Linked DNA regions of Drosophila melanogaster. The protein of the gene in region 1 interacts with the protein of each later gene in a pairwise test. Each region holds a gene or a part of one and is shown in the gene's direction. Other genes may lie near its edges.

What was found.
Region 2: the proteins of mam (region 1) and N interact in a two-hybrid assay, tested with the Drosophila melanogaster proteins (5 studies listed by BioGRID).

What each region holds. Positions count from the first base shown.
Region 1 is NT_033778.4:13,989,310-13,994,240, forward strand, and holds the start of mam (mastermind), read left to right. Parts: upstream 1-1,893; 5' UTR 1,894-2,183; intron 2,184-2,668; 5' UTR 2,669-2,795; intron 2,796-4,931. Other genes in the region: RN-tre (uncharacterized protein), read right to left, coding at 1-315, 376-527.
Region 2 is NC_004354.4:3,133,351-3,137,927, forward strand, and holds the start of N (notch), read left to right. Parts: upstream 1-1,519; 5' UTR 1,520-2,317; coding exon 2,318-2,477; intron 2,478-4,577. UniProt on the Drosophila melanogaster protein: Essential signaling protein which has a major role in many developmental processes. Functions as a receptor for membrane-bound ligands Delta and Serrate to regulate cell-fate determination.

The sequences.
Region 1 (4,931 bases):
CGAAACTGACGATTCACATCGGCATCGATTTGTCGCGTCTCCGTGGAGTACTTCCTGGCCAGCTGCAGCATTCGGAGGTAGACGCCAGCATTGTTGTTTATCGATTGCTGGATGTCGAGCAGCTTATTCCAGGCCACCATACGCACGCGATCCGGTATGCCCTTGTAGACGCGCTTGTGCAGCTTATCCTGGGGCGGCGGCCACTGATTTAGCATCTTCATCCACTTTTTGTCCCGCTCCATTTCAATCTTGTTGCGATGCACCTCCTGGGCATCACGCGTCGACGGCAGCCGCGAGTCGTGCAAGAAGCCATATCTGTGGGAGCATCAATGGCATTATTGGGATTTTTTCTGGCGAATGATTAATATTACTCACTTGTCTGTCCTGTGGTAGATCTCGAAGGTGGGATTCTCCCAGGAGTCCACCACATTGCTGGGATCCAGCCCGAGTTCGTAGCGCCGGAAGATGTCCTCGCGCTCGTCCTCGGCCCGCTTGACCAGCGCCTCCTGCTGTTCGCCGTCAGTCATTTGGAGCAGGATCAGGATTTGGCGGGTGGGGGAGGGGATCGGGGACAGGAGCAGGAGCCGGATCCGGAGGAGCAAGTGGCCAGAGCTGGTTTCTCTGTGCTCTCAGTTGGGGAGCGGCTGCTTCTGAGCTGACTGGGCGATAGCGCGAAACTTTGATAAAAAAAAAATGGAATGGAAAAAATAACACACAAAAGCATTAACATGCGAAAGCGATCCACAATAACAACACTCGTATACTATATAGCTGATGAGCGAATGACGCACACGAACATTAACTATTGTATATATATATATATATATTCAAATGCAGTGAAATCAACATGATCTTTGTTTTTGGAGAAGGAGCGTGGCATAAATGACGTGATGTTTCACCCATATTTAGTGCAGCATCAAAACATAAAGCCATATAAGACTTGGTCACTGATCTAGAAAAACGCCCCCTGATCTGCGTTGTGTGAGTGTGAGTGGGCCAGAAATGTGTGGATCTGCATGCGCCCCCGGGTTTTTGTCGCCTATTTTAATGCGAAATGTGCAATCTTATGCTTTATCGTTCGTACACTTCCTGTTTTCGCTGCGATTTGTTGTATTTTGTCAACACAGACACATACGCACACACGTAACACACACACACACAGACGCTCCGACGAAAGAGAGTGTTCTGGCTTTCACTGGCCACTCTCTCCGCGTTCCTATGGTTGAGTTTAATTAATCGCGCCGACGTTCGTTTACCATTTAATTTTGAATTGCCAATTCTTATTATCCGCACTGATCGGTTATGTTTGGTAACTAGTTTTTCACTATTTTATCTCGGCTGCATGTTTCCGATACATTTGGGGGGCGACTGAGTGTGTGTGAGGGCCAGAGTTGCCAGACTGATGTAATTGCCGAATAACGTAACGTAACAAGAGTACCAGGGATGCGAGCCAATATTTAAGCGATACTTTAGCGTAATGTTATACGAGTTTAAATTTTAGTTGAAATGTTTGTGATGTCAATGTACAAATATGTAAAATGTTTATCTATTTAAAGCTGCAAATGAATGCTCATTTATAAATATTTAACAATGATATTTATTTACTTATTATTTAAAACCTATTCAGTTACTTAATTGCGACAAGTGGCACTTAATGAATTAAAACATTTGTGGAAAACATTTTCACTTCAAAATTTATTTCTTGATAACAAAATCGGCTTTTTAATTCAAATATAATTTTTGTGACTAAATAAGCAGTGCTGCCATACATTCAACTGGAAAACATCGTCAGCAACAGAAGGATAAGTAATCGCTTGATCGATAGCGTTATCGATGTTTTCCCAGCCATCGTTCCACCACTAGCGCCTCTCAAAACAACAAAAAAACAGCGGCAGTCGGACGCGGTTTTTATCATCGAGCGCGGTTTCTTTGTTTTAGCGCTCGAAAATTGTCGAGAACTCTCGTAAAAAATACACTGTACCAAATAACTAAGGAGTGCATGCTAATTGAACAAGCAAATGAATTAAGGTGTATATCAAAGTGAAAAGAAGTCAAACATAACCGATTTTGTTGGCGGCTTTCTTTTATTTTTGTTGAGATACCGTGTTTAATTTCTCCAGTTTTATGCAAACACATGAATAACATAACAGTGGAAATTTCTAAGAGTGCATTGTGAGATAAAAGTAAGCAAATAATTAATATTATGTTTAACATAAAATGCAACCCTCAACAGCGTCCTTTTTAAAGGTGTGCGTTTATATATATATATATATATATATATATATATATATATGTGTGTTTGTGTGTGCGTGTGAGTGATTGTGGATTTTGTGATGCAAAAGAAAATTGCCGCGTGTAAATTTTTGATTTTCAATTCGAGACGAGCAGAGGATTTTTAAACTGCAGCTCTAGCATTTACCGTTAGGGCAAGAGTAAACACATTCAACATGTTGCAGTCACTAAAAACTAAAACAAAAGCAAAGCGGATCACTCTCTTTCTCATTCTCTCATTCGCTCTCTTTGAGTTATAAGTGTTTTTGCCGTGTTTTGTTTTGATTTTTGCACATACACGAAGACATCGAGAGAGGAGAGCGGAGAGTTTCTGCTCTTTTGATTGTTGTTGCATTGGCCAGCTAATAAAATTGTGCCGTTCTTGTTGTTGTTGCAGTTGGATTAAAATTCAAAGCATTGGATAAATGCTAAGTTGAAATAACAACAGTAATAACAAATGGAAAATAGCAAATAGCAAATCAAAGGAAATCAAAATCAAGTTGGATTATCAGCACAGCTTCTGGGTAAGTAAGTTAAGTCTCTTATCGCCTAATTAGTTTATAGCGTTTTAGTTTCGTGTGGGTGGCTTTTTGCATTTCAAAACCAGTTCTATTTCGGGTTTTCATATGCCTTTTTTTCTCTTCTCATGTTGATAAGACCTTGAAGCGCTTTTCGTGTAGAACTTCGCATGATTGATGTTTTTATGTTTGAGGGGAGCTTGAGTCAAAGCTCGGCTTTTAAAAATGGATCAAGACCAGTTTTTCGAGGCTTTGGAATTGCCAAATAATTTCCTAAGCCCAAACTGCAGTTTGTTGTGGTTGTTGCTATTGCTTTTGCTTGCATCGCCTAGAAAATGATGGATGCACACACCTCTCGCTCTACCCTTGCCGTCCCTTTCGCACATCCAGAAGTTGTCGGTTGAGTTTTTATGGCCGTCTCTTTTGTCTCTCCATTTATTTGCCTTTGTCTTTGGACTGATGACTTTGTTTTTGCCCTGTCTTTGATTCTTTCTTTCTCTCTCTCTGCTTCTTCTTCAACGTTGATCCTTTGATTTCGTTTGATCCTTGTAGGTAGAAAAGATTGAGTGTGGGAGAGATCTACCGTTGTTTCGTTACTTCAATCTATAAGATACTAGAATTTTCTTTTTTAAAACCAATTCGAGAAATATTTCAATATATATTTTTGGGGAAAGAAGAATTTTAATTCTTTCGAATATTAAAGAGTTTTTTAAGATTGATTTATAAATTTCTTTTGGATCTTATTATTTGTATTTTGTATACGAAACATTCCATCTTATATTATTATCGTTAGTTTTTTGTAACTCCAAAAATCAAAATAAATATTCAAATAAAGAATTCTGTATTGCCTTTTGTTTTAATGCCATTATGCAATATATGCATTTATTGCTTAAATATTTTTAAAATTATTAACAGCATTCAGCTTATGTCTTTTGAACATTCTCCTTACCAATATCAGATGCATTCCAACCGAAATGCGACGAAGGGCATGCATTTAAACACAATACCTGGCATACTCGACATTTTAAATGCTTTTCATCACTTGATAAACAGTATTATTTGCCTTTCCTTTTTTTTTTTTTACATACATGTATCTCCCTCTGTTCGCCGCCGTTTGTTTTGCCCCCGTCTTCGCATATGTACGTCTTCGAGTGGTCTAACATGTAATGTATGCCTCGTCTTTAGTTTCTTGTTCGTTTCGTCTTTGAGACACCGGAAGTTGTTGCTAGGCTGAAAAAGTTGTGTGTGTTTTTCAGCAGTGTCTCCAGCTGTATCTTTATCTCCCTCTGGAGCCGTATATCCATCTCTATCGACGAGCAAGTGGCGCGTGTGAATGACCCAATTAAGCTGAAGATAACCCGGCCTAAGCTTCGACTTCGTAGGTGGCTTAAAACAACTCGGTTGGCCAAGAAGAAGCAGCCCCAGAACCTGCCAGACGAACATACCTACTATGGCACAACAAAAAAGAGTTCACATCGAATATATCGAATGCGAAGTTTGAACTGTAAACAGGTTTACTTGGCCTCACCTCGCTTCGTCTGCTGCAGTTGGCTGCTACAGGTTTGCCTCCGTATCGCGAACTGCGCGCCATGGAATTTCCTGTATTCATTCATTTTTGAATCCATATAACATAAGCCTTATTTCACTTAAGTTAAAAAACTACAATAAGAAGAAAATAAATGCATACCATTTCAATCTTAAAATTCTTGAAATAAAAAAAATTTCATTCCGGGTGTGAATTTGTGGATTTGATTAAATAAAAAATAACTGTAGTATATATATGTTGATGTTGAAATTTTTAAAAGCTCCTCCATTACTTTCTCCATTTAAGAAACAGGGTAATGTTTTTCTAAGGTCAGCTTATGCAAAGAATAACATATGCAGTAATCCCAGTTTAAGTTATCAACATTTCACTGTACATGGTTTAGTGTGGTGCTTTATTTTGTCAGGCCAAACTCCTTTTCAACATTTTTGTATTAAATATTTCGCACCATGTTCTGCATTTATTCGGATACGAGAGATCTCCCGAGGCTCCAGTCTTCAACTCCATCTCCTTCTGTGCGTCTGCCATCTCTGTTCGACGCTCTAATGCCGTCCTTTTCTGTGGCATATTTTGTCGTTGAGTCAGTTGGGGTCAATGCT
Region 2 (4,577 bases), on another chromosome or scaffold:
TTTTGCACACAAACAAACAAAATTGAAATTGAATTGAAAACTATATTTTTACGGGATGCTACAGTATTATTGCAATTTAATCGATAATCCCCAAGCCGCAAAAAACTAAAAACAAAAAGATGTCCAAATATTGGTGATTTACGAGTAAAGTGAATAAAATTAGAAAAACCACCAACATATATATATATATATATATATATAGTTCCCACTTTCCAACTTTTTGATCGGGTTTTCAGTGGCACAGCATTTCAGCATCCATGTGAAAAGTTGAATATTTTTTTGTCTAGCCCTAAGCGCGTAAATGATATTTGAACTTAAATCAATTATGTAAAGAAGCAAATGAAATATTGTATATCGTATATATATATATATATATATATATATAGAGCATAAATGTGTATGTCAACGCTTGAATTAAAAAATGACTAGCTAAGATTAGAGAGAATGTTTGTAATTTTTTTTTTTTGTCTGCCTAGTTTAGGTTTAAGCCTATTTATAGACGTAAATGAAGAATTTTAAAGGTAAAAAGAAAAACTTAAAAAGCTTAGAAACAATTTGTAAAACATTTGAGCGATCTACCAAAAAAAAAAAAAACGCAATTAAGTGTAAAGCGTTCAATTTTTAACACGAAATGCTGCCTTATGATTCCTCGTTGGGTTCTTAATTCACTAAGCCAATACTGTAATTAATTAACTAATTTATTGTTTCATATTTTATTTTTTGTTTCTTTCGAGAATATACATATGTATGTATTTATCTAAAGTAATTCTGAAAATGCTTAAAAATAATGCCCGTTCGTTTAAACTGATTTATACACTCGAATCTAATTCTATTCTTTCCGTGGGCCAATTGCGCCGAGCTTTTTAACTGGGATAGCGTTCCGAAAATCGGAGATAAGTATGGTGTTACATATTTTTTTTTGTTTTCGATAATTGTCAAACGATTCAATTAAGCGTTCAATTATATAGACGTTACACACGAAACGAAATGAAATTCAAATGAAATCCTATTAAGCCAAGTAAAGTATGATAATTGCAGGAAGCGGAGTTGCGAAAAAAAAAGGTACGGAAAATGAAAACTAAGAACGTATTGCGGGAAAACCTAACTTAAGTCGAGAACAACTCAAATTAGTTGAAATAAAGATACGAGAACAAAAGGAAAATAAAATACTTAAAAAATGCTACAAGTGCGTTTTTCAATCAAATTTATGCACATTTTTTTCCAGTGCCTACGAATTTTACATTGTCGAATTTTACATTATACATAGCGTAATTTCTACGAATCTTACATTGTCGAATTTTACATTTTACATAGCGTAATTTCTACATACCGCTATGACGGCACTAAAGCGCCATTCGGCGAAATGGGGAAACTACTCATGCAAGCGGCTCGGAGCCCGGCTAACGTTATTTGTTCACCAACCGATCTCGCAACGCTGCGAAAGAGCGCGCTGCCAAAATGGCTCCCCGCCATACGGTATCTTTTTCTTGCACCGACGCGGTCACACTGCCGATTTGAAACAGATCGCTTTTTTCCAGTGGACGAAACGGTTGTGAAAGCGGACGAGCGTTAGGCAGACGAACCTGGAAAGCGCAGAGCACAGTTCTCAACATTTATTTTTTTTTTGAATGTGTGTGCAACAACGCACGTAAAATCGCGCTGCCAACAGGATATACAAACAAATCAATTACACAGCAAGCAAATGCAATGAAATGAAAAGGATGGCCCCAGCGGGAAAGCCGTTCAGCAAGAGCAAGGAGTGCCTGTCGCAGGGATAGCAACGAGAGAGCGACACAGAGAGCGAGAGAGAGAGAGGGAGAGAAACAAGGATTTTCGAAAAGTGTATCTACCTCGAGTCGCGCGTGTGTGAGAGTGAGACGAAAGCCGAGTGCAAGAAGCGCAAGAGGAAGAGAGCAATACGCAAGCGTGCGGCGTCGGTTTGAATTTGAATTTGTGGCTCGATCCTCGCGAAGAGAAAAGCAAGCAAAAGATACACGAAAAGCGTTCTTTTTTTGCCACTTTTTTTTTATGTTTCAAAACGGAAAATGTCGCCGTCGTCGGGAGAGTGCCTCCTCTTAGTTTATCAAATAAAGCTTTAAAGTCTGAAGTTCAAAACTATAAAAAACAAAAAAAAAAACAAAAAAACAACAAACGCGCTAAAACAAAAAATTGCTTAAACTACTGAGACTAGCATACTAAACCTAAACTCGCAGTTAAACATATCCTCAAAGAGAGACCAAAGAGGAGCGCTAAAGAAACCGAGAAGCGAGTAGAGGTGAAAAACTGGAAAAGTGGTTAACTGGAAAACTGGATTACAATGCAATCGCAGCGCAGCCGACGTCGCAGTCGCGCACCAAACACTTGGATTTGTTTTTGGATTAACAAAATGCACGCCGTTGCGTCGCTGCCGGCGTCGCTGCCTCTGCTGCTGTTGACGCTGGCGTTTGCGAATTTGCCAAACACCGTTCGCGGAACTGGTGAGTAAAGCGGAGACGCCGATCAGAACAACTAGGCGGGGGGAGGGCAGGGTGACAGGCGGGGTCGCCCGAAAATAGGGTGGGTGCACAAACTGGAATTCCAGGAGGCTCAAAACGTTCCAAAACGCTTGCCAAAGAACGGTTTTTTACAGAACCAAAACTATGAGATAAGATGATCTTGTATAGCTGAAAGATGTGGATCTCAACTAATAGTACTGAATCGCATAATTGTTTGGTCTTAGATGTCAGTTTTAAATGGAGCATACTTAGTATGAAACAACTAAAATTGCAATTACAAAATATACATACATTTGCATTGGACTAGTTCCGCTTAAACCCGTTGGATAGATCGCTACATTGCATAGCTAGGAAATGTTGGTCTATAAAATCGGATGCATTCGCAACACATATAAGTGACTGAGCAAACCCATGCAACTGTAATCCAAAAAGGAAGTGATGCTACTTAATCTGCTTAATAAGCCTATAGGATTGTTGCAAATCCTACCTTAAAGAATTTCACTTTAAACGCAATCGTCGGAATCCGCTCCCAAATGCGTTCTCTGTGTTTCTCCATTCCCTTTTCGATCCTCTTCGTTTGTCTCCCTTTTGGGCAGCTCCTCTTCGCTCTTCGCCTTCCTTTTCATGGCTTGTATTCACCGCGCTTCCTTTTGCGCTGTCTTCCTTGGCTTCGCTTTGTTGTCGCTTTTCGGACAGGTGGTCGTTTTTTTTTCCTCTCTCTTTCTCTCTCTCTCTCTCCTTGTTGTCTCGCTGATCTCGTTCTCGCTCTCGCTCGATCGCTGTCGCTGTCTCGCTCTCCGCCGACTGCGCATGCTCTCTCAGATTTGGAAACCCACCTTTTCGAAACAAGAAAGACCGTTTTTACCGTCGGCAAAAGGCGAGTTTTTCCATTCCCCTAGCACTCTAGGCACTCTTTCCTTTGTGTTTTCTCACTGCGCTATTTGCTCGCTAGTAGTGAGTGGCCAACTTCCTTTCCAGCTTTGGAAGCGAACTCTCCTCCTCCACACGCTGTGTTGTGCCGCATGCACATGGGGCTTACTTGGGTATTTGCATATGGAGCGGTCGTTGTCTAATCACTGAACAAACACCGAATCGTATCGGATCGGATCGGATCGGTTGTAGGTGTACTTAGGGTCGATTGCCCCAGTAAAATGTCAACTTTCCATGGAACTCGAAATCTCTTCGACGGAATTCTCGGCTCAACGATGAGAAAGTATGGGGAATGCAGCTCGATATCATAGTATTTTGAAACAAATTTGATAATGTCAGAGAATTTTTTGTTGTTTCATTATTCGAAAATCTATCGAAATCCATCAATCCATCAAACGTTTAAAAGCAATTAAATGATCATTACTAGAAATTTGATCCCTGAGCACTGGGCAACTTTATTATTACGCACTCCATGATCTCTGCTATTTTTTTTATATTTTTTAACAGCTGCAACCGAAGAGCGTTGAACTATTATGTTTATAACTTTTACCTGGGCATTTCCTGAGCTCGAGTTTCCGCCTCCTAAACTCTTTTTTTTTCTGGCTTTATTAGCCATGGGTAATCGTGTGATCTTTGCAGTTTTAGCCAAAGGAAGTTGTAGTAAAAGTTAAATAAACGGTATAAAAAAGTATACAAATGCATATGCATATAAAGGTGAAAAAAATGCTGAAAGTAGTAATAATAAGAGTGTTAATTGATGCCAGGATATATTGCAAAAACAAAAAGGGCATCCTTTGCATTCAGTTCACTTCATTCTACTACTGCGCTAAGAAAAAAGTGTTCGAAGATGGAAAAAAAAAACCAAAAAAAAAAACAAAAATCTCTCGAATCTTCATGTACATTTTTGTACCTATTAAGTTCTCACAAATTTACGCCCCATTAGCTCCAATCCAAGTTTGTTCAACTTTGTGCGATCGAACGCCTGCATTTAGCCACAAATTTAGGGTATTATTTTTTTGCAGGTTTAATGTGGCACGTAACGGTTTCGAGAAACGAGAACCAGAACCAACCACCGCATTCGATTTCATCATATATGTACACAACCAGGCGCATATAGAAAGAATGTAGTTGGAATAAACGACAGCTGGGCTC